Arabidopsis thaliana: one gene and its partners. The protein of the gene in region 3 interacts with the protein of the main gene of each other region in a pairwise test. Each region holds a gene or a part of one and is shown on either strand. Other genes may lie near its edges.

What was found.
Region 1: the proteins of ATAUX2-11 (region 3) and MYB73 interact in binary tests that used the Arabidopsis thaliana proteins (3 or more experiments, as listed by UniProt).
Region 2: the proteins of ATAUX2-11 (region 3) and RGL1 interact in binary tests that used the Arabidopsis thaliana proteins (3 or more experiments, as listed by UniProt).
Region 4: the proteins of ATAUX2-11 (region 3) and TCP11 interact in binary tests that used the Arabidopsis thaliana proteins (3 or more experiments, as listed by UniProt).

Annotation. Positions count from the first base shown.
Region 1 is NC_003075.7:17,538,978-17,546,858, forward strand, and holds MYB73 (myb domain protein 73), read left to right. Parts: upstream 1-1,512; 5' UTR 1,513-1,624; coding exon 1,625-2,587; 3' UTR 2,588-2,822; downstream 2,823-7,881. Other genes in the region: HMA1 (heavy metal atpase 1), read right to left, coding at 3,010-3,174, 3,263-3,349, 3,433-3,620, 3,705-3,921, 4,069-4,233, 4,386-4,491, 4,910-5,148, 5,511-5,623 and 5 more; AT4G37280 (MRG family protein), read right to left, coding at 7,771-7,864. UniProt on the Arabidopsis thaliana protein: Transcription factor that functions in salt stress response. Acts as a negative regulator of NHX7/SOS1 and CBL4/SOS3 induction in response to salt stress. In response to auxin, activates the transcription of the auxin-responsive gene IAA19.
Region 2 is NC_003070.9:24,742,113-24,751,033, forward strand, and holds RGL1 (RGA-like 1), read left to right. Parts: upstream 1-5,992; 5' UTR 5,993-6,214; coding exon 6,215-7,750; 3' UTR 7,751-8,074; downstream 8,075-8,921. UniProt on the Arabidopsis thaliana protein: Probable transcriptional regulator that acts as a repressor of the gibberellin (GA) signaling pathway. No effect of the BOI proteins on its stability.
Region 3 is NC_003076.8:17,547,122-17,555,223, reverse strand, and holds ATAUX2-11 (AUX/IAA transcriptional regulator family protein), read right to left. Parts: upstream 5,046-8,102; 5' UTR 4,760-5,045; coding exon 4,581-4,759; intron 4,489-4,580; coding exon 4,186-4,488; intron 4,097-4,185; coding exon 4,018-4,096; 3' UTR 3,509-4,017; downstream 1-3,508. Other genes in the region: AT5G43710 (Glycosyl hydrolase family 47 protein), read left to right, coding at 1-7, 91-146, 408-480, 667-776, 897-947, 1,121-1,209, 1,297-1,378, 1,472-1,585 and 5 more; AT5G43695 (uncharacterized protein), read right to left, coding at 6,673-6,854, 6,936-6,975; AT5G43690 (P-loop containing nucleoside triphosphate hydrolases superfamily protein), read right to left, coding at 7,956-8,102. UniProt on the Arabidopsis thaliana protein: Aux/IAA proteins are short-lived transcriptional factors that function as repressors of early auxin response genes at low auxin concentrations.
Region 4 is NC_003076.8:2,676,083-2,684,337, reverse strand, and holds TCP11 (TCP family transcription factor), read right to left. Parts: upstream 3,938-8,255; 5' UTR 3,511-3,937; coding exon 2,791-3,510; 3' UTR 2,345-2,790; downstream 1-2,344. Other genes in the region: AT5G08340 (Nucleotidylyl transferase superfamily protein), read right to left, coding at 1-49, 193-437; ATSTE14B (Isoprenylcysteine carboxyl methyltransferase (ICMT) family), read right to left, coding at 733-1,326; AT5G08320 (E2F-associated phosphoprotein), read right to left, coding at 5,735-5,990, 6,578-6,743, 7,155-7,185; AT5G08315 (Defensin-like (DEFL) family protein), read left to right, coding at 7,758-7,818, 7,974-8,161. UniProt on the Arabidopsis thaliana protein: Transcription factor involved in the regulation of the circadian clock. Acts as a repressor of CCA1 by binding to its promoter. No binding to the LHY promoter.

The DNA of each region.
Region 1 (7,881 bases), on a different chromosome or scaffold from region 3:
TTCTTCGGTTTAGTTGTTCTTCTATACGACAATTTATCACTTGACAAATATAAACGATCTATTACTTGCAACATTCATATTTAATCTAGTATCTTACACGTACATATTTGTTAGAAATTCAATGACCAAACATTGCAAAACTATTACATTCACTTGTTGCATGTAAGCTAGAAGCCTAGAACTCGCTGTCAACGACTACAATGTCTACATTATTTTCACCGACACAATTTACATCTTAACCAAAATTTGGATATTGGACCAATCGTTCGTTTATATAATAACCACACGTATCAATCAACACACAGAAGACAATGACATGTAACAAACAGTGTAAAATATTGAAAATAACTTATCAAAAAACTTTAGTTCATAACACAAAAACTTTCGGCTATTTTTTATTGACTTCTATGTAGTCTTTTTGTTGCACTTACTATTTTTAAAAGCAATATGTATGTTTCCAGCAGATTCTTAGTTTTTACAAAATTTTGCCTTTAATATTTTTTTTGATATACATTGCCATTCTTGATTTCATTTTCTTCTACAATAGTATCAAAATTTTACAAAATAAAACTTCAAAAAACATACGAAAAAGTTAACAAATATTCAAAAAGAGAATGATTTTAAAAAGGATATAAATATAGAGAGAATAAAACGTAGAAGTTAACGATTTTTTTTTGTGAGTGTCACTTTAGATGGAAAATGAAATGATTGGGTAAAAACGCTCCACCTGTAAAACAGAGAGTGGAAGAAACGCTCCTGTGTACGAGCGTACTCTCTCTTCAAAAGAAAACAAATCTCTCAAAAAAAAGAAAGAACAATTGAAAAAAAAAAAGCAAATCTCAAACTCAAAGTACATATACTTACTTGACACGTGTTAATATACAGCTGTATCCCAAGTCCCCAACCGTTTTTCCTGGAAGATTCTCTGCTCTCCACGCTCGATGTTAACCTCACACAAACGCTTATCTCCCAAAACGCCTTTTCCAATCGCCAACGTGTTTTATTTTTGGTTTAAAATAAATATCTGTTCCAATCATACAAACACGTAAATGTTGTCAATTTTTTTATACCCAAACGTTAACGAGGTTTGTACGTAGCCCATTTATGGACACATAATTATGAACATATAAACAATGGTTAATCATACGTTTAAATTAATTAAATTCACCAATATTTTTTTGACTGAATGAGTCAAAATTGTTTAACGAGTAACGACCATAATTATCAGTTTTTATTTTTTATTGTTTGAACTACCATAGTTATCCGTTTAACACTGAGCAAATCTCTTTATTAATAGAGAAAACGGTTTTATTTGTTTCCTTCTATAAAATTTGTTTTTAATAATACGTTAGATATTTTTATGCAGTTAAGGATAATATTACACTGTAAAGTTTAACTAGTTTAATATCGTTTCTGTTAAATCGATAAGAAAAAATTACCGGTTGAACCGGTGACCCTTTTGCCCACTCCTTTCTCGTATAAATACTCTCTCTTCTTGCTCTTATCCTCTTCAACCAAAAAGCTTTTCTTCCCAACACACACAAAAAAAAAAACTGTAACGACCAAAAAAAAAGAGGACGCGTTAGAAGAAAAAAAAAGAACAATCCGATAAAAAGATCCGGCGATGTCAAACCCGACCCGTAAGAATATGGAGAGGATTAAAGGTCCATGGAGTCCAGAAGAAGATGATCTGTTGCAGAGGCTTGTTCAGAAACATGGTCCGAGGAACTGGTCTTTGATTAGCAAATCAATCCCTGGACGTTCCGGCAAATCTTGTCGTCTCCGGTGGTGTAACCAGCTATCTCCGGAGGTAGAGCACCGTGCTTTTTCGCAGGAAGAAGACGAGACGATTATTCGAGCTCACGCTCGGTTTGGTAACAAGTGGGCTACGATCTCTCGTCTTCTCAATGGACGAACCGATAACGCTATCAAGAATCATTGGAACTCGACGCTGAAGCGAAAATGCAGCGTCGAAGGGCAAAGTTGTGATTTTGGTGGTAATGGAGGGTATGATGGTAATTTAGGAGAAGAGCAACCGTTGAAACGTACGGCGAGTGGTGGTGGTGGTGTCTCGACTGGCTTGTATATGAGTCCCGGAAGTCCATCGGGATCTGACGTCAGCGAGCAATCTAGTGGTGGTGCACACGTGTTTAAACCAACGGTTAGATCTGAGGTTACAGCGTCATCGTCTGGTGAAGATCCTCCAACTTATCTTAGTTTGTCTCTTCCTTGGACTGACGAGACGGTTCGAGTCAACGAGCCGGTTCAACTTAACCAGAATACGGTTATGGACGGTGGTTATACGGCGGAGCTGTTTCCGGTTAGAAAGGAAGAGCAAGTGGAAGTAGAAGAAGAAGAAGCGAAGGGGATATCTGGTGGATTCGGTGGTGAGTTCATGACGGTGGTTCAGGAGATGATAAGGACGGAGGTGAGGAGTTACATGGCGGATTTACAGCGAGGAAACGTCGGTGGTAGTAGTTCTGGCGGCGGAGGTGGCGGTTCGTGTATGCCACAAAGTGTAAACAGCCGTCGTGTTGGGTTTAGAGAGTTTATAGTGAACCAAATCGGAATTGGGAAGATGGAGTAGAGTGATAAGAACAAGTTTTCCCTCTGTTTCTCGGGAAAATAAAAGTTTCAGGCTTTTCATGTATAGAGCCAGTAGTAGAGACGACGAAAGGAGGAAGCGAAATCAAAAAATGTTTTGTTATCATCATCATATGATCTTCTTTCGTGATTCAATTAAAAGCAAAGCAAGATCATTTATTAACAATTTACACAAACTTGAAGAAGAAAAGTCAAAAACACTTCTCAAACTTTTATTCTATGGGTTTGTTACGAGGAAACAAACATAAACTAAAAGTAGTAAATATAATCTCACGTGACATAATATATGACCTGAAGAAACCAGTCGAAACGAAACATATATACGATTTTGATGTTTCATAAGCGATCATACAATTCACAGTGTCTTGCTTTTGCAGAATTAGACAAAGAACAGCAAGTTACCCCCTAATGTGCAGAGCTTAAACTGTTGCTGCTGCTACTGGTTGGTTCTTGTGAGCGTAACTTGTTGATTAGATGAACTATGTCTTGTTTCCACGACCATGATGGATCGTTTAGACCACGTACTGAGTTTAGACACACCAGAAGAGTCCCGCCTTCATGTAGAAGTACCTATGATCACAAAAATGCAGGTTAGCGGTTTTGTCTCTCGGGTAAATGATGGATAACAAAAGCTTGTAGTGGGTATTAGCTTACGTACCGTCAACCACAATGGGACAAACCCTAAAACTGAAGGAAGAGCGGCCAAGAATATCGATGTTAATGCAAGAGCTACGTTTTGCTTGACCTGCAACATGATACATTCTTGTTAAATCAGGCAATCTAACATCTGAAACTGGTTAAGAACAAAGACTTTTATGTTTTATCTACCAATGATGTTGTCTGGCGGGATTTAGCGACACAGAACGGAACACCGGTGATGTTGTCTCGAAGCAGTAAGATGTCAGCAACGGCAATCGCAGTGGCACTCGCTCGTTGAGCAAGAACAATCCCCACTGTTGCAGCTGCTAGAGCTGGAGCATCATTAATCCCTTCTCCTACCATAATTAAACCTCCACCTAGCAAAAATCACAACTCTAAATTCTCAGTCTCTTGATAGATGTTTTTGATTGGGAACTATGGCGAGAGTAATGAATGATCACCTGCTTCCCGAGCAATGTTCTTTACATGATTTAACTTATCCTCTGGCTTTAGGTTGCAGTAGACTTCGGTAATACCCACTGCGTTTGCAACTCTCCAAGCACTTGAATCATGGTCCCCAGTTAACATCATTACTCGGAGTCTGGCCCAGCTTTTAAGTTCTGCTATAACTCCTGACACCCCTGGACGAGGCTGATCTTCGAGGTGAATCAATGTTACCTGACAAAATTTAGTTGCAAGGCTCATAAATTTCAGTGTTACAGAGGTTTTTATGGACTAATAAATGGTCAGATGAGAGATGAAAATCACAGACTGTGAAGTAGGAAAGAGGTTTTTAGACCAGCTAAAGAAGTAGTCGTAGTATACCTTTTGATCAACAGAAAGAGCAGCATGAACGAAGTCCTTTCCGTACGAAGACGCGTTTACAGCATCCTTGATCTGTTTAGATTCATCTTCAGATTTGAAAAGTGAGGTAATGAACTCTATAGAACCAAGTGATGCTTTTCGTAATCTACTCTCTTCAGCTACTGTCTATTACAAAACCAAAAAATGTGGTGAGAGACAACATCATATATATTAAGAATGAAAGCCAGAGATGTACACACATCACCCACAGCTATACACTATAAAATCTGGTAGATAAATGGATATATATAAGAATCTAGTAAATAACTGAGTCTCACCTTAACACCGTTGACAGTAGCAGTAAGGCCTCTACCAGGAAAATATTCGAAGCTTTCAACAAAAATAGAAGGAAGATCCTTACCCACACTGTGATCTACAACAGCTCTGCAGCAAGATGAAATGTGTCAGAAACAGCAGAAAAGACCTATAGTACTCTTCAGTCTCAATCTCTTACCAGACCAAGCATCATTTAAACTAATAAACCAGTGTAAAAACCAGTGTAAAAACCAGAGATAGAGAGCTTCATAGCGTTCAAATTTGCTTTTTCCCCTTCCTTTCATCCGATTGTGGTAATGAACTAGAAATAAGAATAAGTTCTAGATGTAGGACTAAAATTCTTTACGTCAACATATCTCCTGAAATGAATGTACCATCCAACAAGATAACTTATTTCCCATGAGTTATAGACGCGCCACAGTACTAACTATGTGATGATGGGATGCACATAGGTCACAACTTGCATGGTTTTAGAGTTTGTGGTAATTAAGTTTTATACTAGTAATTGATGCTAAACAAGCAATACCTTCCAATAGGATGCGTGGTGCCCTTCTCCATGGCAGCCGCAACTGCAAGAGCTTCTTTTTCACAATTTGGAATGCAGCAAGTTATTACACTTGAATTAGTTCCTCCTTGGTGCCCATAAATGGGTTCAATTGCTTTACAAGTAAGGCCGCCGGTTGTTAAGGTACCAGTTTTGTCAAAAGCAATAGTATGGCAAGACGCAAGAGCATCTAGAACCTGTGCACCTTTCAGCAATATTCCCTATAATAGTTACACACGGTGGGGTTACACACTTACACGTGAAGATACTACCTTTACATAGCAAAAAAAAAGGAAAAAGAAAATAAACCATGTTTTCAACTGGATTTGGACAAAAGGAAAATGATATCAAATAGTTAGTTGAAATATGGTGGTCTTCATAGATAAGACGATGTTGTTGCATATGCACCATTCATTCCTCACCATTGACATTTGATGCACATAAGATTATTTAGCTTATAAAGCTTAATTTGCTACAAGAGAACATATACAAACCAATGCTCAAAAGTGCAATTCTGCAAAACATCACAACGCCAAGAAAGCTAACATACACTTGGTGATCACGTAGAGTACTTGAACAATACCTTTCTTGCACAGGAACTAATAGCAGTAGCATAAGCCAATGGAGCTACGGCCAGAGCACATGGTGATGCGGCCACCATAAGTCCCAATGCTCTGTAAACAGATCCTCTACATGCTGCATCATTAACAAGCAATGAAAGTAAGCCAATCAATTTTCCACTCTTATCAATTGTCCAAATGGTGATATATCTTATTAAACAACAAGAATAGTTTGTCACATCAACAATGATTTATGGTAATGTTAAGAAGGGAGAACTTGATCCTGACATCTTACCTGCGGTGCTGAGAAAAGGCCACTTGAACAAAAATGGACCTAGGAAGGCAATTGCAAGTGACAAAACAACGACAACCTTGCTGTAATTCTCGCCAAACTCATCCAGCCATCTCTGAAGTTTGGGTTTATTAGAATGTGCTTCCTCGGTCAGCTGTACAATCTTGTTAAGCGTCGAATCATTCCATGCCTTTGTAGCCTGATTTAGAAATTCCATGGATTGAGATAAGCATGAGGATTTCAAATAAAGAGACAAGCCAAAGCAATGAGAATAGGATAAAAAATACCTTTACAATCATTCTGCCATCCAAATTTCTTGCACCACCAGGCACTCTATCTCCAGCTTTTGCCTCCAACGGCTTGACTTCCCCAGTCAAGTGCTCAATTGTAATTGTAGCACTACCTTGATAGACTTCGCAATCTACAGGCACAATCTAAATGGAAAAAAAAATTCCATTACTTAACAGCTGCAATTGTAACCCTGCTAAAACTAAACTAATGACATACAGGGTCACATGTTTAAGAAATTCAAGTAATGAAAGCAAATAGAAAAGTTTCACAGACCTCACCAGTTCCAACCAAAACATAGGATCCAACTTCTACGCTGTGCACAGGAACGCTTTTGTATGACAAATCAGATATATTTGGAACATTGCCATTGTGTACTTCGATCAACAATGCAGAATCTGGATTACTCTCTTTCAATTCTTTGACATCCACCATTGATCGACTAGTAAAGAACTCCTCAGCTGCAGAAAAATGACAAGACAAAAGCTCAAACCTCTCCGTCATGATAAACATTAACAATGACATATCCCTAATCCTTATTAAGGTCAAGTTCTAACCAATATGAGCAAGATTGAACATAGCTAGAAGCAATCCTCCTTCCAAAGCATTTCCCATAAACACAGATGCAAAAGCCGCAAGTGCCATCAAGACATGGATGTTCACTTTTCCTCCAGCTATATCCATAAGTGCGTCGAGAGATGCTGAAACCTAACAACATCGATGACCATAAAGCTAAATTACTAAATCATCTGGCTAAATTATAAAACTAGCAAGGAGCTTTATAGAGAAGGCTATAGAAAACCTTACTCCAACAAGAGGAAAACCAACAATCATGAATGCGTTCTGAAGAGACTTAATGTAAGGTTCAGGAGCAAGGTAAGGACAGACGGCGGCAGCGAGGAACATTGCAGCGGCGGAGCAGCAAAGATGAAGATGCTCTCTGAGGTAATTGGCCAATCTAACCCATCCGATAGCTTTAGCGAATCCGAACAACATCTTCTGAGGCTTACTCTCCGCTTTCAATTCCACAGAACAGCATCCGTGTTGATGGTGATGATGATGGTGGTTGTGATGATCTTGCTCGTCATCGTGATGATGATCGTGATGGTGATCTTCGACAGCACGTAGACGAATCGACCGTGGTGGAAGATTAAGGGAAGCAGAGATACGAAGCGGTTTTTGACGGAGAAGAGTTTTAGGTGGAAGAATTGAGAACGAGTTGACTCGAGCGAGTCGGAGAGTGGATAAACCACGACGATAAGGGAATCTAGTAAGAGAGGAAGAACGAGTAAGAGTTGCAGGTTCCATGGTCGACGAATTTGAGCTCAAGCGTCGTTTTTCATGCCACCATTGATTCTGATCTCGCGAACTCTGCGTGTAAGAGTCGTTCGTCTTGGTGAAAAAGATGAAAGAATAATAACAGAGAAGGAGAACCAATGTAATTATTCCGATGACATTAGCCACATAAATAATCTCATCTCATACACTTTTTTATTTTTTCCATTTTTTTTGTTGCCTTCTACCAACCAAGGTTCCATTGTTCCGGATGTTTTATTGACCACTTAAAGAAATTTACATGAACCAAATAGTTAACTTCAAAGGCCTGTAAAATATTTCATATTCAGCTGCAAATCTTACAATTATGAATTCATCAGAAAAATGAAGGAATTCTAAATTACAACAATATTTTTTTCCTGGAGATGTCAGTCGTCTTTTCCTTTGCCTTTACCATCTGAAACCTTATCAGAATCATATGCTGATGGTAGCAAGAAAGTGCTCTGATTCTTCTGAATAAACCTGTAAAGATTTTTTTC
Region 2 (8,921 bases), on a different chromosome or scaffold from region 3:
TGTTCAAGGAAATGGGTATTTTTAAAAATGGACAACATAAAAGGATATTGTTGGAAAAATGTAGTAAAAAATGGGTAGTTTTGCAAATCTTTCAAAAATAAAGATCAATATAAGATTCTTTCCGCTAATATTCATCTTATATTTGTATAGAATAATATGGTTTTTGTTAATTACGAGGGAACAAAATCTACATGTTATGCGGGCGATTACCTCTACAAATATAATTTGTTTGTCGTCGAACATTTTAATTTATTTTGAAATCTGATATGAAGACATGAATTATTTGAATAACTTTCTTTTGTTCTGATTAAAAATATACAAAATCTTTCATTTAAAATATAACGTCATAGTATTCGTCTTAAGTAGCTTTGAAGGATAACTAGAATTATATTTTCTTAGTATATCCCTATAAGAATGTAACATGTAATTAGACGCTAGAGAAAAAGAATGTGACATGTAATTATTAATGCATCGTCGATGCATGTGTTCCACATGCAGAGAAAACGATCGTGTTGAATATTTATTGTGTCCACCAAAGAAACAATCTATTGGATTACCTTCTTCAAATGAAACTATGATAAAATGAAGTAAATGTGATGGATTCCCTTATTAATTACCAACAAGCTAAGTTATTATCAAATAAAAACTTAAATAAAATGAAGTAAATGTGATGGGCTCCTCTTTTAATCACCTAAGATCTCTATAAATGTGTAATATGTAGCTAGTGGTTGCTTGCAATTGTCTTGTCATTGGTGGAGACATAATATAGTGGCTCAACTTGTTTACTACAAAATATAATTTTGGTCTTGTGATTGTAAGTTATAAAATTTCGTGATGAGCTTTCTGAAAAATGTAGGGTCTTCTAATAAATCTTTCGATTGGTTATATATTCAATTCTATAGGTGAAAAGCGATTTACCACTCACTATATCAAACTCTAGTACTACCTTCAATTTATATTTTCTTTGTGACACACTCATGTCTCGTTTTTCTTTGGCCAATAGTTTTGTGAAAACAATCAAGTTTAGTGGTATCAACCAGTGGACAGGTTTATGTTTATTGTATGACACATTTGACTACTAACCTGTTCAATGGAACTTATTAGATATTTCTTTAGTTCACATAATTAGGAGGCACCGAAAATGGATTAATATTGTAAAAAAGAACTGTCTATTTCACGATTGTCTTCTCTCTTGTTATAGATGAATTGATTTAATTAAATAGGGAAATTATCGTGTCCCATAATGCCACAATAACAAAATTAATAAAAATAAGTAAATCAAAATGAAGTAGAAGAACCCAGATTCCAAATGAACAAATGCCAATAGACAAACAAAAAAAAGTTCACACTATAATCCGATTGGTAATGTATAAAGAATAAAAAAAATTAACGAATAAAACTAAATGTTAATGATATATATAATTAAAAACAATGCAATGTAGCGAATAGAAAAAGCGGCAAAAAAATCTTAATTTTTTTTTTATCTCGTTTTTGATATTGTTATGTGGTTAGTTATATTAAAAACGGTACGAATATACCACTACGGTGTGAAGCTAACAATCACACCCTATATCTCTAAACTTTTTAGCCAATTTTCATTGGATTCTCTAAAAATTAACTTGTTTATTAATAAGAAAACAAAATCTTAAAAGAATACAAAACTTAGGTATTTTAATTGCATTCTCAATTTTTACAACTTCTAATTCACATCATGTATACGAATAATTCGCATTCATAGGGACCACACGCTTTTAAGATTACTTTTAGAGAAACAAAATATTGAAAAGTTTGTGAGTGATGATAATCGATCGGAGATGGGGCAAAAATTTGAGAGCGACAAGGAACGTGAGTCACATGGAAAGATCGATCATATTATACAGCAAACAGAAGTCCCCACACCAACATGAATTGGTGTCATATGTATGAATGTGAAGGGCCAAAATCATCAAAAAGAAAGTGTTGTGTCATTGTGGACCTTGATTAGGGGTAAGCTCGTAATTATTTGTTTTCTACTTATATTTTCTTTGGTACCAATTGAATTAATTTTTTCCGAAATCGGCTATGAAATTATTGGCCTCTTTTTTGCCCCACCATAACAATCCAACTACTTTAATTCCTTCTTAGTACAACAACGGCTACTTCACTTTAACATTGTCTAGCCTTTTTCTATTTTAAGTCAAAATCTTGACAATGCACATGACCCCTTAGGAATCCACATTAACGATATTATTATCGTACATATTTTAGGTTATTAATCATCCCAGCTAATTCATTCGGATAATATCTAAAAACATGATGGTTTGAAATATTGGCATCGTTTCTAGCCACTTATTTTGAAAACCATTGATTACTTATTTACTTATAAGTCATTTTAACCCAATATACAAATAACGTGTTCGTCGATATTAAAACATTTCATTTGACAAGCATCAAGAGTATAATTGGCGGTAAATCTTTGGTTACAAATGAAGGAAATTCACAACAGTTCGACTTTGTCTTAGATGTGAAATAGAAGAAGAATCTATTAATCATGCGATTTTTAAATGCCCTTATGTTCGTCATACTCGGAGATTAGCACATATCCAATCGGCAATTAATGTATATTCCTCCAAAACGAATTTTGTTAATCTGAATTTTTATTTTATTTTATTTTTTTAGAAACCATGATAAAAATAAAACATGATAGATCAAATTTTAACCCAAAGATTACACTACAATGGTATTTAATCCATGAGAGCTAAAACAATCACACAAAAGTTTACAAAATTAACTCAAAAGAAAAGATTGTTTTGTATGGTTTCTAAATTAACTAAGGGGGTGTTTTTCGTTAATGGATTTTATAGAATTGAAATCCAACACTAATCCACTATTATTTAACTAATGATTCTAAATCCAGCTTTAAAATCTAGTGTTATTGGAACTCATATTTGTAAATCATGCTTAATAGATTCTAAAGTTTGGTGTTATTCAATTAAGATTTTAAATATTTCATTAAAATCCAATGTTATTCAAAACTAAAAGACTTGTAAAATCTTTGTATATTAATTGATTTGAAATGAAAGTTCTTTAGAGTTTCATGAGTAAATCATTAGAATCAAAATCCAAGACATATTGCAGAGATTTTGAAATTCATACAAACATATTCTTAAAAGCAATATCGGAAAACAAATCTAAAGCTTAAAGAATTGACTTTAACTCCATAATTGAATAACACCACCTAAGACATTAGTAAATTGTAAGTGAATAAAAGAAAGCAACAAAAATAGTTAACAATTGGTAGATAAGAATTACATGCAGTGTAAGAAAATTTCACAAGGACTCAAATCACAATTATCAAATTTTGTAAATAGATAAGAATTTTCAAAATATCAAGTTGTCTAGCTAAATACTTAAGATTGTAAACTGCAATTCAAATTCAAGAAATTAAAATGGACATATATAGGGAAGTTATGGGCATGTATGTGATCTCGTACATCCCTTAGAGCGAGGTCTAAACCATCATTTGGAAAGCTCACCCCTTCCAACACAAATCGAACACATGACTTCTAAAATCTCTACGTTTTCGGTGATCAAAGGGATTTACCACTAGAAGTGCCAAGTTGACGGTTCTTGGGAATGTAAACTCTACTTCTAGGTTATGTTGGATATGCTTTCAGGAGGAATCTATGACCCTATTGCTAGGATTTAAGTCCCATCGCAAAAATATTACTCTGCTCATTTTCTTGAATTTCTTATATGGGCTATGAAGACCATTCTATCAAGTGCACTCACATGGTAGAAACTAAAGTCGGATCTCTGAGCTGATCATGATAACGCAATACCCCTTTGAGTGGCTCCACTTTAGTGGACTATTGTTTTCTCTTATTGTACTTTAGGTCCTCGTGAATTAATCTCTCGGACGAAAGTGTTTAGCATGTAGTATTTTAGCCCATTATTTGGGTAACCAATTAATGTTTATTCCCTTAATGTATTGGTGATGATAAAAAGAGCAAGTAGACTACTAAGTTCTTACCAACCAATAACCGAAGGTACCAAACGATTCGAAATTAAAAAGAACGAATAATACTGATGAAAACTGTTGAATTAAACAATGTCATAGAATATAGTCACTTAATTATGACTATTTCTCTTTCAAGGCACTAATCATCCTTGTAAATCATCATACTTTCCAACAAGTATTAGTAAACAAAACCTACTAAACTAAAATAGAACCTTAATTTTAATTATCATTGTTTAGACATTTTTACATACATGTTTTGAGGAAAAGTCTCCTAACTATCATAATGATCAAGTCTAGTCTACTATTAATAGCAAAGAAATTAAAGAAACTATCAAAAATATTTGGACCTAGACATCAACATCTAACAGTATAACCTAATCAATCAAAGTAACAATCTTGGTTCGAAATGAGGATATGCATTATGTGAAAAGGGTCATTGTAGAACTATGAAAAATGGTTATGCATATGGGGAAGCTTAAAAATGTTTTATGATTGCATGTATCTTTCTTAAAGCTCATACCGAAAGAGCTCCACATCTAATAATGGTCGTAACCACACAGTATTTTATTTATTCTCCATCTATCGCCTTTTGAACATGTCTAAAACACAAGTATATAATAAAAATGCGTATTACAACACAAAAATATATAATACTAATATCGCTAATAAGAATATAGAATGATATTATTATATATTCTTGTTGGGTTATTTTGACGACAGTTCTTAAGTCAACTTAATTATTTTTGCAAAAGACATTTTTGCACGTTAGTTGTAATTTTTTTTCGCAACTAAAAATATATGCAAATATTTTACATAAAACATCTTTTGCTTTGTTTTGTCAATCTCTTATGCTTACACTACTTGATAGTCATTTCTTTGAGGAAGAGCGCCAATCCTACAAAAAAAGTAAGAAATATTTATTGTTACAAAGGTGATTCGAATTCGAGTGATAATTTCACAACGACGCTTACAAGAATAGCTAGATTTCATGTATTTTCCGATTACCAATTTTTTTTTGTATCAACAACAACATGCATATGAGTTTGAACTTCGACGGTGTCACATCAGCTCTTGCACACTAGCACAAATCACTAAATTACGTTTTTAGTCAATTAAAAATAATAAAACATATACAAATATGACCACAATCATAATACTACAATTGAATGGCGATGATATAAATTCAATTTTTGTATTAGTAATACGGTTTGAAAATCTACATTCGAAATGTGAAACGTACAATGCCATCATTATGCAAAAAAAAAAACAACTTTCAAACATTATTCTATATGAAATGGAGGAATTGGTAAAAATAGAATTCATTACATCACCTAAAGATTAATCACCCGATAATATAAAAACAGAAAACTAAACAAGATTTCCCTGAAATTTATAGTTTAATATATTTTCTTATGAACATAATGAATTTCTTTATTTATTCTCATTTATGAAGATGATATAAAAGTTTGAACAATAATCACAACACAACACATAAAAAGTAAATCTCCTAATCACCAAAAACTATAAAAATGAAATGTATGTTTTTGTAGTTGAAAAAAGGGTGGTGGTTGGCTTTAGAAATTGGACTTTTAACCTAAATGTTTCTCTACAATACAACTTCCAAATCATAACCGTTATTTAATATTACACCTAGTCTTCATCAAATAATCAAAATCACAAAATAATCAAATATCAAAAACAAGTTGTTATAGTTTTTAATCAAAATAATTATGACATAGCATAGATTATAGAATATCTCGTTCAAATAATGATGTCAGGTTTACATCAATCAAACTGAATTTTCTCGAGAAGCATATTTTGAAAATTAAAATTTATTCGCAGAAAAAGAAGAGAAAGGAATCTACTATTATTTACTGTATATTATATAAAGAGGAAAATAAAATAGGTAAATAAATTTCCTTTTATAATTGCTTTAGATTGCGGTTGTACCACGGCTCTGCTCTTGCTTTTAAGAACTTGCCGGTACTAAATTTCATATACTCCAATTAAAAGCTAGCTCGAAACCCCAAATGTTATTTTATTTTTCTATATAATAATAATCATACATTATAAAAAAAAATCATATCATTATTTAAAAATAGAATTTTATTTTTCTTTCTTCTTCTTCAATTATTATGACACTCCCGTGTTCCTAATCTTTTCTCTTATTCTTCTCTTTCTTCTCATCTTACAAAATCTTGCAAATCAATTTTAATGAAGAGAGAGCACAACCACCGTGAATCATCCGCCGGAGAAGGTGGGAGTTCATCAATGACGACGGTGATTAAAGAAGAAGCTGCCGGAGTTGACGAGCTTTTGGTTGTTTTAGGTTACAAAGTTCGATCATCCGACATGGCTGACGTGGCACACAAGCTTGAACAGTTAGAGATGGTTCTTGGTGATGGAATCTCGAATCTTTCTGATGAAACTGTTCATTACAATCCTTCTGATCTCTCTGGTTGGGTCGAAAGCATGCTCTCGGATCTTGACCCGACCCGGATTCAAGAAAAGCCTGACTCAGAGTACGATCTTAGAGCTATTCCTGGCTCTGCAGTGTATCCACGTGACGAGCACGTGACTCGTCGGAGCAAGAGGACGAGAATTGAATCGGAGTTATCCTCTACGCGCTCTGTGGTGGTTTTGGATTCTCAAGAAACTGGAGTGCGTTTAGTCCACGCGCTATTAGCTTGTGCTGAAGCTGTTCAACAGAACAATTTGAAGTTAGCCGACGCGCTCGTGAAGCACGTGGGGTTACTCGCGTCCTCTCAAGCTGGTGCTATGAGGAAAGTCGCGACTTACTTCGCTGAAGGGCTTGCGAGAAGGATTTACCGTATTTACCCTCGAGACGATGTCGCGTTGTCTTCGTTTTCGGACACTCTTCAGATTCATTTCTATGAGTCTTGTCCGTATCTCAAGTTTGCGCATTTTACGGCGAATCAAGCGATACTTGAGGTTTTTGCTACGGCGGAGAAGGTTCATGTTATTGATTTAGGACTTAACCATGGTTTACAATGGCCGGCTTTGATTCAAGCTCTTGCTTTACGTCCTAATGGTCCACCGGATTTTCGGTTAACCGGGATCGGTTATTCGTTAACCGATATTCAAGAAGTTGGTTGGAAACTTGGTCAGCTTGCGAGTACTATTGGTGTCAATTTCGAATTCAAGAGCATTGCTTTAAACAATTTGTCTGATCTTAAACCGGAAATGCTAGACATTAGACCCGGTTTAGAATCAGTGGCGGTTAACTCGGTCTTCGAGCTTCATCGCCTCTTAGCTCATCCCGGTTCCATCGATAAGTTTTTATCGACAATCAAATCAATCCGACCGGATATAATGACTGTGGTCGAGCAAGAAGCAAACCATAACGGTACCGTATTTCTCGATCGGTTCACGGAATCGCTACATTACTATTCGAGCTTATTCGACTCGCTCGAGGGCCCGCCAAGCCAAGACCGAGTGATGTCGGAGTTATTCCTAGGACGGCAGATACTAAACCTTGTGGCATGCGAAGGAGAAGACCGGGTAGAGAGGCATGAGACTTTAAATCAGTGGAGAAACCGGTTCGGTTTAGGAGGATTTAAACCGGTTAGTATCGGTTCGAACGCGTATAAGCAAGCAAGCATGTTGTTGGCACTTTATGCCGGGGCTGATGGGTATAATGTGGAAGAGAATGAAGGTTGTTTGTTGCTTGGATGGCAAACGCGACCGCTTATTGCAACATCTGCGTGGCGAATCAATCGTGTGGAATAAAAATAAATAATGGGAAAAGTGAAAATGTGCTATATACTTTATTGCATTGCTGATAAAGAAAAAAAGTCCCACGTTTTCCAAATTTTATGAATTCTAAATTTTGTTCACTTGTCACGAGATTTTGACCTCGCATAAATAGACTATTACGTCAGGGTCAGGCCAATGAAATGATTTTTTATCACTTGTTCTCATTAAGGTAAAAAAGGTCTTTTCTATTTCATCTTTGGTTTTCGATAAAATTAAAATTGAATAAGAGATGAAATAATGATATATATAAGGTGATAGTCTGATAGATATGGATAAATGTTTCATGACACGAACCAGTAGTCAAGTTCTTTTGAGAATAATCCTAAGACCATGGACTTTAAATAGATTGGTTAAAGGGTCATTATCTCTTTAATTAAGGAGGACAGTGGTGTGTTTAAAATGTATTTGTGCTCTTTTGACGTTGATTTAATTAGTACCCACCGCCAAATAATATATGAGCATTCCTGTTATCGCATGTTGACATCATTTTAAGAAAATGATTTTCGTAGGTAACATTTTGTTGGTAATCAATTTAACAACTACCAATTTTATTACTTTTAGAAGAAATATGCATGAGCTGACATAATTATACTGTACATAAGTTCATAAGTTTCTGTCGGTAGAGAGGTTTGTTCATCAGGAATTCGTAATGACGCAAAACATAAATTTGTCTTTAGAAACTTTATATGAATATATAAATTTGGGAAACTATTATAAATCCTCATAAATTTTAACAAATTTTCAAATACTTTTACCTTTCTAAAACTTTTATATGTTGTTTCTTATAACTTACTTACACAATTTTGTAACAATTTTCCAAGTATAACCAGAATTGTTTTGGTAATAAAACCTTCCTCAGAATATGTTCTTGGAAACGAGATTTTAATTTGATGGGCATCATCATTCTTCGACACTACAACCATTTTAAAATTTTGTTTTACTCGTTGAAAGTATTTTCTTTTCAATAATGGTGCATTCTAGGTTTGATTAAATTGTGAAGTCCAAACCCAAGCCCAATAAGGGAAGTTTGAGGCCTAACCCAACTCCTAATATAAGTTTCTCGTGTGTGTAATTCTATGATATTACCTTTTTACGATAATTTAATTAGTCATTTTAAAAATCTTTTAATGAACTAATGACGCGT
Region 3 (8,102 bases):
CCGACTGGTATGCTCTTTTAGTTATACACGTGCATATATGAAAGCGAGAATTGCCTTGTCATCTCCTTCTTCACTTGTTATTTTCTACAGGAATCCCATTTGGATCTGTGAATTTGATGTACGGTGTTGACAAACATGAAAGCAAGGCAAACCATCTTCTTTTACCTTCTCATAGCTTTCACATCTTATTCTTACTTATTTAATTTGTTCATCTGTGCTATTGGTGCCGTGACTGGAGTGCATATTAATATAAATGATACCGAAATGCTTGGTTTTCCTATCTTTGCTAGGTCTCAACGAGTTAAAGAGAGTTGAGATTAAACTGCTCATTTTCTGCTTGCTGATCTTATCTTTTGATTCCTATATTGGAAACTCATTTATTCATGCATCTTTGTTTGTTTGTTCAGATAACATCAACTGCCGGTGGTGGTACTTTGTCTTTAGAGTTTGGCGTGCTTAGTCGTTTAACAAATGATCCTGGTGAGTAAACCAGTTTAGTCACTGAGATATATCATAAATCTGTTAGTCCTTGAGAAATACTTCTCTTTAGCTCTCTTTACTCTTCTATCATTTTCGTTGGGATTTCCAAGAGATGTAATTTTGATTTTCATAGTTTGTTGTGTTTCTTACGTGCTCTTACATGGGCCAACTTTGTTAAATTTGAAGTTTTCGAACAAGTTGCAAAGAATGCGGTGAGGGGACTATGGGCACGTCGTTCAAATCTCGACTTGGTTGGTGCTCACATCAATGTCTTTACAGGTGAATGGACACAGAAGGTAACAAAAAATGGCTTCTGTATATGTCAGAAGAACTACGGTTTGATGAACTTTGCTTCAACAAACTAATTAGTCTTTTTTTGTCACCCAAATTCTAAAATGGTAGTGTTTACTTGGCAGGATGCTGGTATAGGAACAAGCATTGATTCCTTCTATGAGTATCTACTCAAGGTTAGTAAACGTAGCCCTTGACAAGATATTTGAATTATTTGGATATAATGGCCAAGTCCTAGAAATCCAGAAAAAAATAGTTTCTGTTCTTCTTCAACTTTGCATAAAACTTGAGCGGCATTGATATAGTCCTAGACTCCTCGCTTTACTTTTGTTTGATTTGACAATTTCAGGCTTATATACTATTTGGGGATGAGGAATATCTATACATTTTTCAAGAAGCTTATAGATCTGCAATGCAGTACCTTCACAAGGATCCTTGGTAAGCTTTCTGTATCTTGTATGATAGAGAAACAAGAACAAACAATTCCTTTGTTTGGACTTACTGTTTTTTCTAGTTTTGTCGTAGGTATGTAGAAGTCAATATGGATTCCGCAGCTATTGTCTGGCCAGTATTTAACAGCCTTCAAGCTTTCTGGCCAGGACTTCAGGTAAATAGTGATTCTACGTTTGACCAAATTGTTAATATATTTCAGGCTGGAAAATTTAACTATGATTTTGTATCTATGTTTCTCTCTCAAAAGGTTTTAGCTGGAGACGTTGATCCAGCAATAAGAACTCACACTGCCTTCTTTAGCGTCTGGAAACGATATGGTTTCACCCCTGAGGGTTTTAATCTTGCTACACTTAGTGTCCAGGTACTCTATCTTAATTTTAAGTGTCTCTGTGATCACTTGTCACTTATTACGTCTGATGGCACTATGATGTTACAGCTTCATATCTATTCTTCATTTTCCTTACAGTATGGGCAAAAGAGTTATCCCTTAAGGCCGGAATTAATCGAGAGTACATACTGGTTGTACAAAGCTACCAGAGATCCCAGGTCACCAAATTAATTAGTTATATTTTTTTCAATTCTTCATCCAAAGATGATCACACTACTGAATTGCACAATGCAAATTACTCGTCGACAGGTATCTTGATGCAGGACGTGACTTTGTGGCTAGTTTGCAATACGGGGCAAAATGTCCTTGCGGTTATTGTCACATCACAGATGTAGAACTGCATAAACAAGAAGATCACATGGAGAGCTTCTTCCTCGCAGAAACGGTAAAATACATGAAAAGCTCTGTTTCTCAATATGCATTTACTTGCTTACCTTAAAGCCTTGACTTGTTTTTGTTTCAAAAATATTTCAGGTGAAGTACTTATGGCTACTCTTTGACTTAGCTGTTGACTCGGATAACCTCGTAGACAATGGCCCTTACAAGTATAAATATCTCCTCCACATTAACCTCTTGATTTTCACAAACACCACAACAATTCACTAATCTTGATAATTTTACTTAATCTTCAGGTACATCTTCAGTACTGAGGGTCATCTCTTACCAATAACACCACAAATATCTCTAGCTCGGGAACATTGCTCTTACTTTGGTGGATACTGTCCAAGCAATTCCACAAAACTAGAACAAGAAGTCCTTGGAGAAGACAGTAGTAACGATGATCACAGTAACGATTATCCTTACCACGAATCTTTTCCAGTTACCGGTTTGATAAAGGTCAGTACCAGAAATAAAAATGTTTCTTTCTTTCTTTCGGATTCCTTACCACGAATCTTTTCCAGTTACCGGTTTGATAAAGGTCAGTACCAGAAATAAAAATGTTTCTTTCTTTCTTTCGGATTCCTTACCACGAATCTTTTCCAGTTACCGGTTTGATAAAGGCCAGTACCAGAAATAAAAATATTTCTTTCTTTCATCAAAGTCAGTTTCTTTTGTTTTGGGGTTTTTGTAGGGTTTATGTCCAGGACTAACACATGCTCAGAAATATGGTTTTTCGTATGTTCTACCGGAGAAGACAGATCGTGAAGATGTTAATCAACCTAAACCGGTAGTTACAAGCAGTTCAATTGTGTTAATCTCGGATCAAACAGTGGAGAAGAGACCACAGGAAGAAGAAGGATTTACTTCTCAGTCTGAACCAATAATGACAATCTCTGGTGGTAGTAGCAACGACCAAACAGGTCAAGAGCTAACCTTGTTAGAGTCAGAAACTGATGATCAAAGATCATACTCTTCTTAAATCTCTCATTTATATATATGTTCCACAGAAGAAGATTACAAAAACTTTTGTTAGAAATATAGATTCAGTTTTCCAATCTCATCAAGAATCTTGAATCCTTCTTTTGTTGATCGATTGTTGTCTCATCATAATCATCATCATCATCATCGAGACAACTAGGTTTAAGTATTTGGTAAAATTCTTGACTTAATAATCATCTTGCATCAAGAACATTAGGTATGAATGTAAAAATTGTTGGTGCACAAAGGAAAAACCTAAATTCAATGAACCTATCTATACCATTTTAAAATATTACTCTAGTTCCAAGGTTCATAGATTATTATAAGTGATAGTGGAGACAAATTAGCACAGTTGGGTAGATTTACTTGTTTAAGGTATGGGGGACCAAAGTCACAGTTGGTAACAACAAAAGATAATATAAACATTTCCAAAGCCCCAAAAATATTCTCACTGCTCGATTAGATTTCTTATTTCTTTAATCTTGGTGACTAAACATGTATAATCTAAGTTTAAAGAAACTAGAATCCAATGATATATGTTTAGAAGCTGGGATTATTATTTTTACCATAAAGCAGCTTTGGTTTAATGATTTGTCTTCGTTGTGTTCATCTACAAGTTAGGTTTAATGTTCTGTGTTACAGTTTTGTAAAGACAGATCTTAATTTGAAGAGAAACAGAACAGAAAAATGGGTAATTACATCAAAAACATCAAAGTTGTTCGATAAGAACATTATAAAAAGTGAAAAACACAAAGATAATCTTCAGATTAGATCTTTCTAATACCACAAAACCTTTCTCTTTAATGGAGACAGAGTTACAGCTAAAGTTTAGATTTAGATCTTTCTCACACTTTTATGCTTAAGACCATTTTAAGCATCTCTCTTTTTACCGATGAGGTAAACATTCACAAAGTATGATTGTATGAAACATCTCTCCCCAAGAACCCGAGCAGTTTCAGAGCTATATTTACTCTGTTTCAAGAAACAGAACAAAAAACTCTGTTTTTGAATCTTTCTCTTTGATCTTTATCTCTCAATTAGGTTTGTTAAAGACCACCACAACCTAAACCTTTAACTTCAGATCCTTTCATGATCCTTAGCCTCTTACAAGACGAAACAAACATCCTGCAATAACAACAAAACACCATAAATACATAAACAAGATTGTGTCATAAGTTAACTAATTTGAGAGATAAATGAAAATTTGTACTTACTCCCAAGGAACATCACCAACAAGCATCCAATCACCATCTTTGTCTTCATAAGTAGGTACAAAGTCTGAGCCTTTATATCCTTCTCTCTCAAAATATTCTCCCACAGAGAATTTAAACATGTTTTCAAGTGATTTCATCAACTCTGGATATTGTTTATACATCGTTAGATCTATCTTCCTTAGATATGGAGCACCATCCATACTTACTTTCACATAGTTTCCTTGACCTTCAGATTCACTCTTCTTTGTCTGAACATTGTTCTTTCTGTAAGATCTAACTGGTGGCCATCCAACAATCTGAGCCCTATAAAACAAGAAATAGCATAGATTAGATTAGATCAGATTCACAACTCAACACACATTTTCAGAGAAGTTGTATTTGATTCAAACACTTACTTTGGAGGAGAAGCGGTTTCAGTTTTTCCAGTGGATTCAATCTCTTTCTCAGTAGCTTCAGGTAAAACTCTTTTGTTGCTTTTTCCACAAGAAACAGTTTCTTCTGTCCCTGGTAATCCCAATCTCAGCTCTGTTGCCTTTAGGTTAACAAGCTCATCATAAACATCAACTTTTTCCATTTCTTCTTCAAAGAAAGAACCTCTTTGTTTTTGTGTGTTTTGTGTTCTTGTGGTTGTCTAGAGAGAGAGAAAGACTTGTTGATGAGATAAGAGGCTTTGTGAAGAAGATTGTTTTATAGGAATTGAAAAGTCACTTTTTTGGTAATTTAGAAAAAATGGGATTAACTTGATTTAAGGACAAAGGCAAAAGCTAAAGCTGTCGGGTAGTAAACAGTAGCAGCAACTTTGAGGCAAAGTGTGTCCCATCATTTTGGGGACATTTGTGGGACACTTTCATCTTCAACACAAAGAAAGATACTTTCTTTGATTTTAGAGGACGGTCTAGATTCATTTCTCTGTAGCCCTAATTCAAGGAAGTGGGGTAGAGTATGGTACACTCATGTGCAGAATATAAAAAACCTTTCTCTTTTGTTCAAGCATTGAGTTATTGTAGGGTAAGCATTACATGTACTGTGGTCTGCCATATGCATTTGTCACCTCTCTCTCTCTCTCTTAAAGCCAAGAACTTACTCTTTCATCTATTTGTGGTTCATGTGATATCAGGATTAGATCATCCTAGTCAATTGAGTTGAAACTCTAGCTGTCTAAAGTCAAACATATTCATAGTCTTTTTTTCTGTGTTTGGAGGATAAGATTTTGAGTTTCATTGGGTCTGATTGGTAGCTTCATGTGTGTCCAACTAGTATTTGAGTTGGGACTTTCGAGAGTATTAGTAAAGAAAAACAAATAGTATTTGAGTTAAAATTATACTATTTGTTTTTCTTTACTAGTTTTCATGAAAGTCCCAACTTAATTTGTCTCTCTGTCTCTATGAAACTTCTAATGATCTTTATATATATGAATCCAGGAACAAACTGACAAGAAATCTTGCCAAAAGGTTTTGTCTTTAGACAGTTCATTATCTATGGGGTCTTATCGTTTTGGGTTTTGATTTCTCTCTGACTTTGTTTTCATGTTACTACAGCAAGGCAGTTTATGTACTTGTCATGCTTTAGTGAACCAATGTAAACCAAACCTAACCTAATCTCTTTGGAGGACCAAATTTGAAAACCTATGTTCAAGACTATTTTTTTATCCTAAGTTTGTTTAGTCTCGATTTCAAATTTTTTTTTTCTGTAGAAAAAGTTTTGAATCGTTACACATTAAGGGGTATTATTCAGTCATGGATTTCAATAGAATCAAATCCAACACTAATCCACTGTGATTGATGATTCTAAATGGTGCTTAAATATTTGTGATTAATTTATCATTAGTATTATGTTATTTTTGGCACATGACCTCCTAATAGTCTAAATCCTTCTTCTTGAGTATGATTTATGGATTACGACATTTGGGAAGTGAACATTTAGGAGATTGTTGGTTTTATCCGAATTGGTCTCAAAAAGGAGAATTTTAAAGGTAGTGAGTTTGGTATTTATTGTTACACGGTAGACGACAAGACTTTGGGTTCGATTTGAAATGTGAAAAGTTGGTTTCATTGCATGGTTGGCGTTAGAGATTTAAGTTCATGACTAGCTTATTTAGCTAGAAATCAAATACTGAAAATGAGACGTATCTAACAACAAACCGGTTCATGGCATTCTCTCCGGTTCCGGTTCTTTTGGACTCTATGTTGGATTGATCCACCGTTGGATCCAATAAATGATATAAAACAGCTACACACATGATCATACATATACAGCTTCATAAGTTATAGTTGGTGGGCAATATATATGCTTTTATATCATCCTAGTGATTATTCTAATGGTGGCTGGTTTGATGAAAAATTAGGCATCACCTCTTCCATGTTGAATTTGTTCTTAACTATCTTTTTTGAATTTTTTTACATAATGTTCAATATTTTTTGTATGGACTATGCAACAAAGTTTTATTATTAGTGAAAACATATCTTATTCAAAAAAGAAAACGGAAAATTAACATAGACATAAACAAGGAGTAATTCTGTTGTTAGGAATACATTTCATATGACATCCATCCATGCAGTCATCATCCAGTAATTTCACTACCTGCGGCGAACCTTCATGATGCAACTGAGGAATTTCTTCAAGTAATAACCTTTTCGCCTCAACATTTCGAACAGTAACGATACTCATCACTACAAAATCAGAAACTATAAATAACAAATTTTGTATATAGATTTTTGTTATTTGCTTCACACGTGAAATATAAATTTTACCTGATGTAACAATTAGGCAGATAAGGAAAGCAAACTTCATTGGTATTTTTTTACTTTACAATATATAGCGGAAGTTGTTACACAAAACTCGGGGTACTCCCCAATACGTAGAAGTACAACTATTTCTAGATACAATAGTTATATAAAGGGATCTACTGTAAATTACTAATTATTTTGTTTTTGTTACCAGCCAAATAAATACTTATCAAATTACAAGGAAAAAGTCCAGTTATTGACTAAGTAAAATTATATGAATTTATTACAAAATTTTGTAAATATACATGAGACTAGTATAACTGATATTCTACAAAAAGTCGGTAACAAACTAACAATATAAGACCAATTCTAGAGTGCAAACTAGAAAACAAACAGTTTAAGAGTTACAAGAGATAGATCATATAGTTTTGAAATATGGAAGCAAATAACAATCATCAATCCATATTCTATATTGTAGTTTTTATTTGAATTGTGGCAAGACTTTGGGTTCGATTTGAAATGAAAAACTTTGGTTTCATTGCATAATGTTTAACCTGTATATATATAATAGGAGAGTCCTCTCTCCATTTAGGGTGTCCATCTAAGCATCCATATAAGCAACACTATTTATTTTATGTTAAAATAAATTTAAACATTCATTTAGTGCATATTTTTGTTACTTATAATCATAAAAAAATGAATAAACAAAAAACGAATTATGTAAAATAAATGAGCTGTTAAAATAATAAAGTTATACTATAACTTTTTTGTTAGTAGTAATAATCTATTATACCACACATTTTATTGTGCCTTTACGGTTAGGTGTATCGGTATTTACTCGGGCAATCATCATATCTTGAAATAGTTGTATTATGAATATACATGGAGTTGTGTCAAATTCACACTTTTGATTTTTGGGCCAATCACTATGCATTATTTTATTGAAAGACAGTCAATACTCATAAATCAAAGGAACATAAGAAACAGAAGGTAGTTTTATTATAATGCATATGTGAAAAGCTACAAACCACAAAGAACACGAATCTAGAACTTCAAGTCCGAACCTTTTAATTTCTCCTCGATGATCATGTCGATTTTGTTCTCCATTTCGGGAGTTAGATGATTCTTCCAGTCACCAACTTCTCCTTTGCGGAAATAGCTTTTGTAGTCATAGTTCATCCATGTTTTTCC
Region 4 (8,255 bases), about 15 Mb from region 3:
CACTGGAGATAACCCTTCAACTGGAAGCTCAGGATCATCTTCTCGTTGGCTTCAGTAGAAGAAAGCAAAAGACCCCGAATTTAACATCAGTCAGATGAATTAATTAAAGATCTCTCTTTCGAGTCCAGAAACATAAATCTCGACAATGACACTTAAGAATCAGATATACCAAATCAAGGAGAGAAACAAAACCTGAAACAATTGTGAAGAATTGGGACTTCTCCGGATGTTCTGCAATGAGACCCAAATGAAGAAATCATCCGCTGACGCAATTTACGGCTGAAATGATGACTCTTCGCCATAGCCTGAGAAGGCCTGAGAAAGAATGAAGAGAGCTGCACAATCTTAGCACCACAAAACCCTAATCCTAAACCAATCGAATTATGATGATTGTGGTCGGACAAATGCTGCAAGACACGTGAGCCTCCGCACAACATGGTTCCGTCTCGTGCTTACAAATCGGACAAGCTCGCTCTCACGGAGAGACTCTTCGCCGGAGCTAAATCACTTTTAAAACCCAGTGGTCAAATTTTATGTTCATAAGCATAAACCTCTGGCTCAGGCAGAGTCTTTGGAATAATATCCAAATTATTTAGCAATAAAAAAAAAGAAACACAAAGACATTGACAAGAGAACATTAACTGAAAACATGAGTAACAACATCTCTTTCATAATTTTCTATGTAAAAGGTAATCAAACAATGCTCGTATATGTTCACAATTGATCTAAGGATCAGTTTACAAAAGGAACACCAGAAGGAACTCTCTGCGCATACTCCACATACTGTCTCCCAAAAAATTGCTTCAAGTAATGCTCCTCATAAGGTATTCTCTCTGCAAAGAACCGCCACACCACAACCGCAAACGCAATCGCTGAAATTGGATTACAGAGCATTACTTGCGTTCCCACAGACCAAATGAGAAACCCGGAGTAACTCGGATGCCTCATGATTTGATACACTCCTTCTGTCACAAGCTTATGATGCTCCTCCCGGCGAATTTTTATAAGGTGTGTGAACGATCTACCTGCTGTGATTATCGCGGTTTTGCGAAGGATTTCTCCAAGTATGATCATTGTAAGACCGAAATTGCTGATCCACCAGTGTTGTTTCAGCCCCGGGAAGAAAACAATCTCGGCTATGTACTCGAGGACTGATATTAGCATTGCTAAAGCATAGTGTTTGCTGATTAAGAGTGAGCTTAAAGTTACTTTCGATGCTCCGTGAATGGCTATGGCGAGAATGTACTCCGATGTGTGGAAGAAGATTATCGCCAGGAACATTTGAGTTAACTGTCTGAACCCGGTGTCACTAAATATCTCTGTCATTGAGTCTTCACAAGATTACTTAGACCTGAAAAAACATGCGAGTAACAGACCCGAGAAGGTCAAAGAACATCATTAGCCAAAAGATGGGAAACAACAAGCATTCAAGTAAAATCCAATCCAACTCACTTCACCAAAGATTTTTTAAAACCAAATCACAGGAACACTAATGTCAATCAATGTAACAAATCTCACATTAATGTTCTTCTAACACTAAACTACAATGTTTCTTAATCCAACAATTGATCTATGACAAGCATTCAAAACACAGTTTTCACATGAGAATTGAAGATCTTACTCAAAGAATTACAAACAGATATGTATAGCTGATGAATAGTACGGGATTTTTTTCTATTCTGTCTATACTTACTAATACTAAAATTTCACGGAATCACAAAATTCTAATCACTAATTTCTTCAATTAGGCTTTTCGTCCTCGTTTTCTGTAACTCAACTGTCAAACCACGAGAAACGAAGAATTGAGCAGGAACCGTAAACGCTACGAAGATCTAAGACATACCCAGTTGAAATTGACGGCTGCTACGAGGGAAAATGCGAGAAAGACTGGAAATTTCGCAGAGGCTGACAGTGAGAATCGCGTGGACTTTGAAGGAGAGAAGCAAAGTCTACACCTTTACCCTTTATTCTTTGCTTGCTATAATCAAGGAATTACTTTTGTAAACACAGAGATCTCTTCTGTTCCGTCTGATCTTCCCCGATAAGAAAAGTCTTGTTTGAATCAAGGAGCTTCCGGTCAAAATCGATGAGAAGAAACGTTGCAGGATCACCGAAATTTCAAGAACCAGACTATTTTAGGGTTACCGGTTCGAGACGGTTTGATCCAATGGTCCCCTATCGGTTTGTTCCGGTTATAACTGATAACGATGAGTTAAATTGAAGTATTTCTTTTGTGTTTGAAGCTTACGATTATACTGCTCTGGATAGTGGATGGGCTTGTTATTAGTTTTAAAAGTTTTTGGTGGAACCTGAATTATCATCCGGACCGGCTCCGTTAACCCGAGTTCAAATTTGTTTCCTTTACTACGAAAGAGTAAATAGTGGGACAACTTCATTAACGAACGAACCATAATAGAATTCATGCTTAAAACTAACGGGACAACTTCAAATTTGTTTCTTTTGCTGTTTCTTTAGTTTTCTAAAGAGACTTGATTGAATGGCAATGATCACTAGTTAAACGACTTCTCTGTTTCGCTAGTAAAAACAGAGCTTTTATAGCGTTTTAGGTACAACAATCAATCAATCTCTCTCTCTTTCTATCACTCTCCGAAACAAATTAACGAGACCAAATATTCTTAAACCCTAAAACCCTAATCAAACAAGCAATAAGCTTAAATTAAGTAAAAAAGGAGCAAAAGAAACCGCAAATTAGAGGTACTTTCTAAACACTTTCGATGACATAAAACATAGGAATTTTTCTATACATTACCAAAAAGACAATACCATTTCTCAACGTGGTTCGTGGTCGTCTTCCCTCCGACCCGACCCGTTAGCTCCACCAGACAAAGAAGCAAGCAAATTGAGATGATGACCCGGAAGATAATTCCCAACTCTAGCTGCTGAAGCCTCACCCATTGCAGCTGCTGCGGCGGCGGAAGCTTGCTGTTGCTGCTGGTGGCGGACGAAGAGTGTAGCTGGTTGCTGCTGCTGCGCAAAAACCATTTCCGGTGGAGCTCCGGTTGCAAAGCTCCAGACTTGTCCGAAATCCGGCCTCGCCGGAACAGCCCAAAACCCACCAGAACCACCACCACCCATTAACGAAGTCCCCATTGTGTGTCCCACTGTTAACCCTCCTCCTCCTCCGCCGCCGGATTCTCCTTCCTCCGCTCTGACGACACGTTTCCCGAGAGTAAACGGAGAAGAAGTGGAGAGAGAAGCAGTGGAGAAACTCGCCGGAGTAGTGCCAGTTCCAGTGGCGGCTATGATAGAAGGCTCAGCTTGACGGAGAAGCCACTCTATGGTTTGACCATCGGACTTGTGACCTAACTCTCTGGTCAATTGAAAAACTCGAGCTGCGCAAATGATTGGCATACGAATCCTTCTTCCTCTTCCGTCAACTTTGCTGTGTCGATCTTTAGACGGTGGTTTCTTAACGGCGTTAAGAGGTCCTTTGTTTGACGTCTGCTCGACTATGATGCCGTTACTCACTGCTCCGTCGTTGTCGGCCATGGAATTAGGATTTCGTTATCACTATCTAACTCTCTCTCGAGGAGAAGAAGAAGAAGAAGAAGAAGAAGGAGGTAATGATTTGAGAGGAAGCTAGGCTGGTGGAGACAGGAAGGAGAGCACATGGCTGGTGGGGTCCCACACAGCTCACTTCTGCTAGGTTTTTTTAATTTGTCCGGACGCGGTTGAAGCTCACGCGCTTGACTCCGGTGTTGACTATAGCGTTGGACCACGGTCGGGCAGGAGAATTTAAGTTTTTAGGTTTAGGAGTTAGTTGGGGTCCCCATTTATATGGTTGCTTGAATTACATTAGCTAATTTACGAGTAATTAGGATTCGTAGAAAATAAGTAGCGTTACAAGAATAATATGAATTCGATTTTGGTTTTTACTAATTCTTATTACTTCTGTGACATGTAACCACAACAATGCTGATTTTTACCTTTATTTCTTATCGATAAAATTTGTTTTAGAATGAAGTAGTATATGTTTTATGCTTTGTAACCACAGTAATCATACACGTTTACCTCATGAGTTTAATGCATTTTATAGGATGTAGGGAAATTAGATTGCAATTAAGACAAAAGCTGTTTCCAGTTTCCACAATAGTTGAAAAGATGAGGAATAAGAGACAATCAATGGTGGTAATTGATTGGTGAGTATACTTTACACCTACACTGATTACGATTCTATTTTGTACGATTTTAATTTATTTATTTTTAGTCATTTATAATTTCACATCTACTAATTTGTGATTGTCTCTTATTTTTTATTTTTTATTTAACTTCTAGGATAAATAAATAGCTCAAATAAAAGAAATGACAATTACGCGCTTTATGACACAGGTTACTAATCTGAGTATAACCCAACCACTGTGACCCCCACACGATATGCGTTCGTGTGTGCAATTTGTATAATCAAAATTCTTATTACCCATTAAGCAATAATAAAACAAATCATTCCATTTGGAGCGTGGCATAATAAAAGTAGCCGTGCCCACCTGGCAGATATGCCGATTTTGATATGTCGTTGCGTCGAGATTTTTTAAATTGTTTCGCGACAATAATTTCTTTCATGATGAATATATAATGCACATTATACTATATTATCGTCTTAATATTTGTTATATGATTGTGAAATCCTTTAACAGAAATAATTGTTATGATGATTGCCGTACCCATACGATACAACCATGAGTGATGTTTAAATGCCTTTTTTTAAAAACTATACCCAAGCCAACTTCTTAAAGTTGTCGATATAATACGTGAAGGTGCTATCAAAAGCGATGAAAAGAATATTTTTGTGCATGCTTAAAGTATGATAGATAGTAAAAACTTGAAACTACGACGCACAGCTGAGGAACCACCAAACTAGAGACTCGTAGAGAAATTTTAGTCACATTTCGTAGCTACTTGCTAGGATTCAATTGAACTAGCTAGTTCTTAAAAGAAAACGTTGCCACAAAAGCTTACATACAAATTGTATGATACAATTGACAATTATTAATGACCGGCGCATGTTAAAAGTTATATTGAGTGATTAACTGGGATTTGAATGATTAGTTGTGGGGTTAGCTGGATAAATGCATAGAAATTTTTAATGATCACCAATTTACCAAAAATGCTTATAGTATATTCTAATCTTTTTATTTTATTTTAAAATAGTAATATGTGTACGAATCATTTGACAATTGTCAAATGTGTTAAACAGCTGGAGCCCATTCTCATCTGCCTTTATTTATTAATGGGAATTTGTATAGAATTATTAGTATGGGGGTTGGTGGACGAAAATACAAGAAAGTGACACTTCTGTCAAAAGAGAATCAACTCGTGTTTCATACAAATATCTTCTTTTCTAGTTTTCTCATTTGGCGATGCCTCTCTAGATTTTCTTAGCTTACTCCACCAATCAGAATAATCCACGTCATCTCGTTTTTTTAAACTGAGAGGATCGCTTTATCTTCTGCCATCTATTTGACTAGCGTGACTAAAAGACGTTCAGAGACCAACTCGCTTTGTAGTTTGTTGTATTTGGTATTTGTTTGATACTAAATTACTAATCATGTGAACTGTGAACGATTCTGACTTTGGTATAACTCAAAATTCTCTAGTGACTTGATTTTTATCAAACGATATACATGCAACGTAAAGATTAACGCAAACAATCGAAACTTTAATCCTAATCACCTGTTTAGAACTCGTTACAAATAACTCATAAAACCAGGTTGTTTTAAGGCTCGCTTGGAATGACATTAAAGAAATGGTAGATCTCTTCACTGTCAACTACTCCGATCTCTGTGGAACAAGCTGAGCAAAAGACCGGGTTAACTTTTTCGCTATCTTCAGAACCAGTTTCTTGCATCTCGGAATCTCTCCTTCTTTTACCAACCTTTAAGGGCATTGTATTCTGTTGCAAAACTGTGTCTGTACCTACTTTGCAATTGACCACAAAGACTGCTCTGTACTGTGTCACATACTGCTCGTGCCTGCAAAAGTTTTACTCAGATTGTCTTAATTTGGTTCCGCAGTTTATAATACTAAAACCAAGTTCAAAGAAGTGCAAAGGGATCAAGTCATAAACAAAACAATATCATCGGATTGAAGAGGAAAGAAAGAAATCCATTGTGATAAAGTCCTTATATTAGTCTATCGCATGAGTGTTGTAATAGCCTAGGCGGTGTGTAGTGGATAGTAGTTGTATCAGCAATCTTTGAGTTAGTTAGCTACAGAGCTAGCAGCTAGAAAAGGTAGTTCTGGATTTACCTATGGGTTTTGGGATTGGGAATTGGACTGAGAGTAGAAATTTTTCTCGTTAATCAAGTCATATAACTGGTTTGGATTCTACCAAGATTGTCATTCCTAACAAAAACCTAGAGCCTGTAACAATTGTCAAGAATCTCATAATCAAGTCAACATTCCAGAATCTAGCAAGTTACTATCAATATATTAGCAAACACATTGGTGAGGATTGAACAATGGAGCCCTAGCAACATTGAGAAAGCAAAGCCTGGATGGGATATAACAATCGTATGAAGATAAAACACCAAGTTCTGATGTTGAGAGAGGAAAATACCTCTGACACTCTAAGCAGACAGTGGTGAAACAAGCTGGACAGCTAAGAAGAGCATCAGAAGTACGACCATCTCTCTTCTTATCCATCCAAAGCTCATCTTTATCATCAATATCTGAATCATAGAACTCCGGTTTGATGGAGTAATCAACTTCCTCGTCATCCGAAACTGTTACAAGGTAGTAGACAAGAAGAAGTTAGGCCTCATCAAATCAATATACAGAAAATAGACATACTTGTCCTTCTGATTCCACATTATTACAAAATAACTTGAAATCTAAACTTGAACACAAGAACACAAATCTCTTGAATACTGAAGAAACAACTTCTCTTTTCGCAATCTATGGCATCAATTAGCTTACGAATAGCAACATCAATTACACCATAAAGATTCAGAAACTTAGCTAAATACTAAATAGCTCAAGGTCTCAATACGATGGATGACAAAAAAAGCAAAAGAGAGATCATATTAACCGAAACCTATGAGAAATCCATGGATGAAGGAACGAAACAACAAAGGGATTGAGTCGAATCGGCCAGCGAGTGAAAGGGTTTGAGCGTATTAAAGGTTTTATTTTACCTGTTTTCTGTGAATTGGTCGGAGAAGCCATGGTTTTAAGATTCGATCTTCACTGCTAGTGTAATATACGACAGCTCTTGGTTAAGCTTAGCTCAGCGTCGAGCTCCGACGGTGCAGTCAAATCGGAGGTTCACCGACGAAGACGATGACAAACTTCGTTTTATATAACTTACAGTGGCTTCTAATTGGGCTTACAAATTGTTCAGATGGAAAGATATATGGGCCTTAAGAAATTAAGAAGCCCATTTCGTAAAAATCAGTATTTAATTTTAGCCTTTAAGGTGTTTTGTTATTTGCAACAAGAAGAAGTTGTCTGTACAACAGAGCATGAAGGGGTTTGAATTTTCCAATAGACTAAATAAAACGTTACCATAGAATTACCAAAAACAAGTTTAAACGGATACCATCGTATCTTCACAATCAATCAAAGAATACATTCATATCCTTGAATATATCAATCCTCTAATTATGTATATTCATATATTTACATTAATTGTGATTAGTTACCTCTACGTGTATATAAACATCTCATTGTATTATAATAAAATCATCACTTTCACAATCATCTATAAACACTTATAAAAAAAAAAAAAACTATTAACAATGGCTGGTTTGAAAGTTTTTTCCTTTGCTTTGCTCCTTATTCTCACTTTCTCACTTATTGGTACGTATTCTCTCTTATAATTAGGGGTATTTTCTCAAGTTTTTACACTCTAACAAACTTATTTTTGTGTTTCAATACAAACTTATTACTTTAATTACAAAATTCCATGAATTCATATTAGACAAAACTGTTTCAATTCTTTGTGATATTGGCAGATGTTGAAGGATATAATGTAGAGAATGGTGGTTCCTTGTGTTGTAATAACCACCCGAAATTTGGAAAGTGCAACACAAAAAATGACGACCAGAGATGTAACAGTTGGTGTCTCAATGGATGCGACAATGGAAAAGGCGGTTACTGCAAATCTATGTCTCACGGAGGACAATGCCACTGTTATTGTTAACTCACAATTAAAAACAAATATGCATGCGTTAATGCGTTTGTTTGATTACTAAGACCATCTACAATGTTTAGCTTTGCTTCTTAATAATTATTCA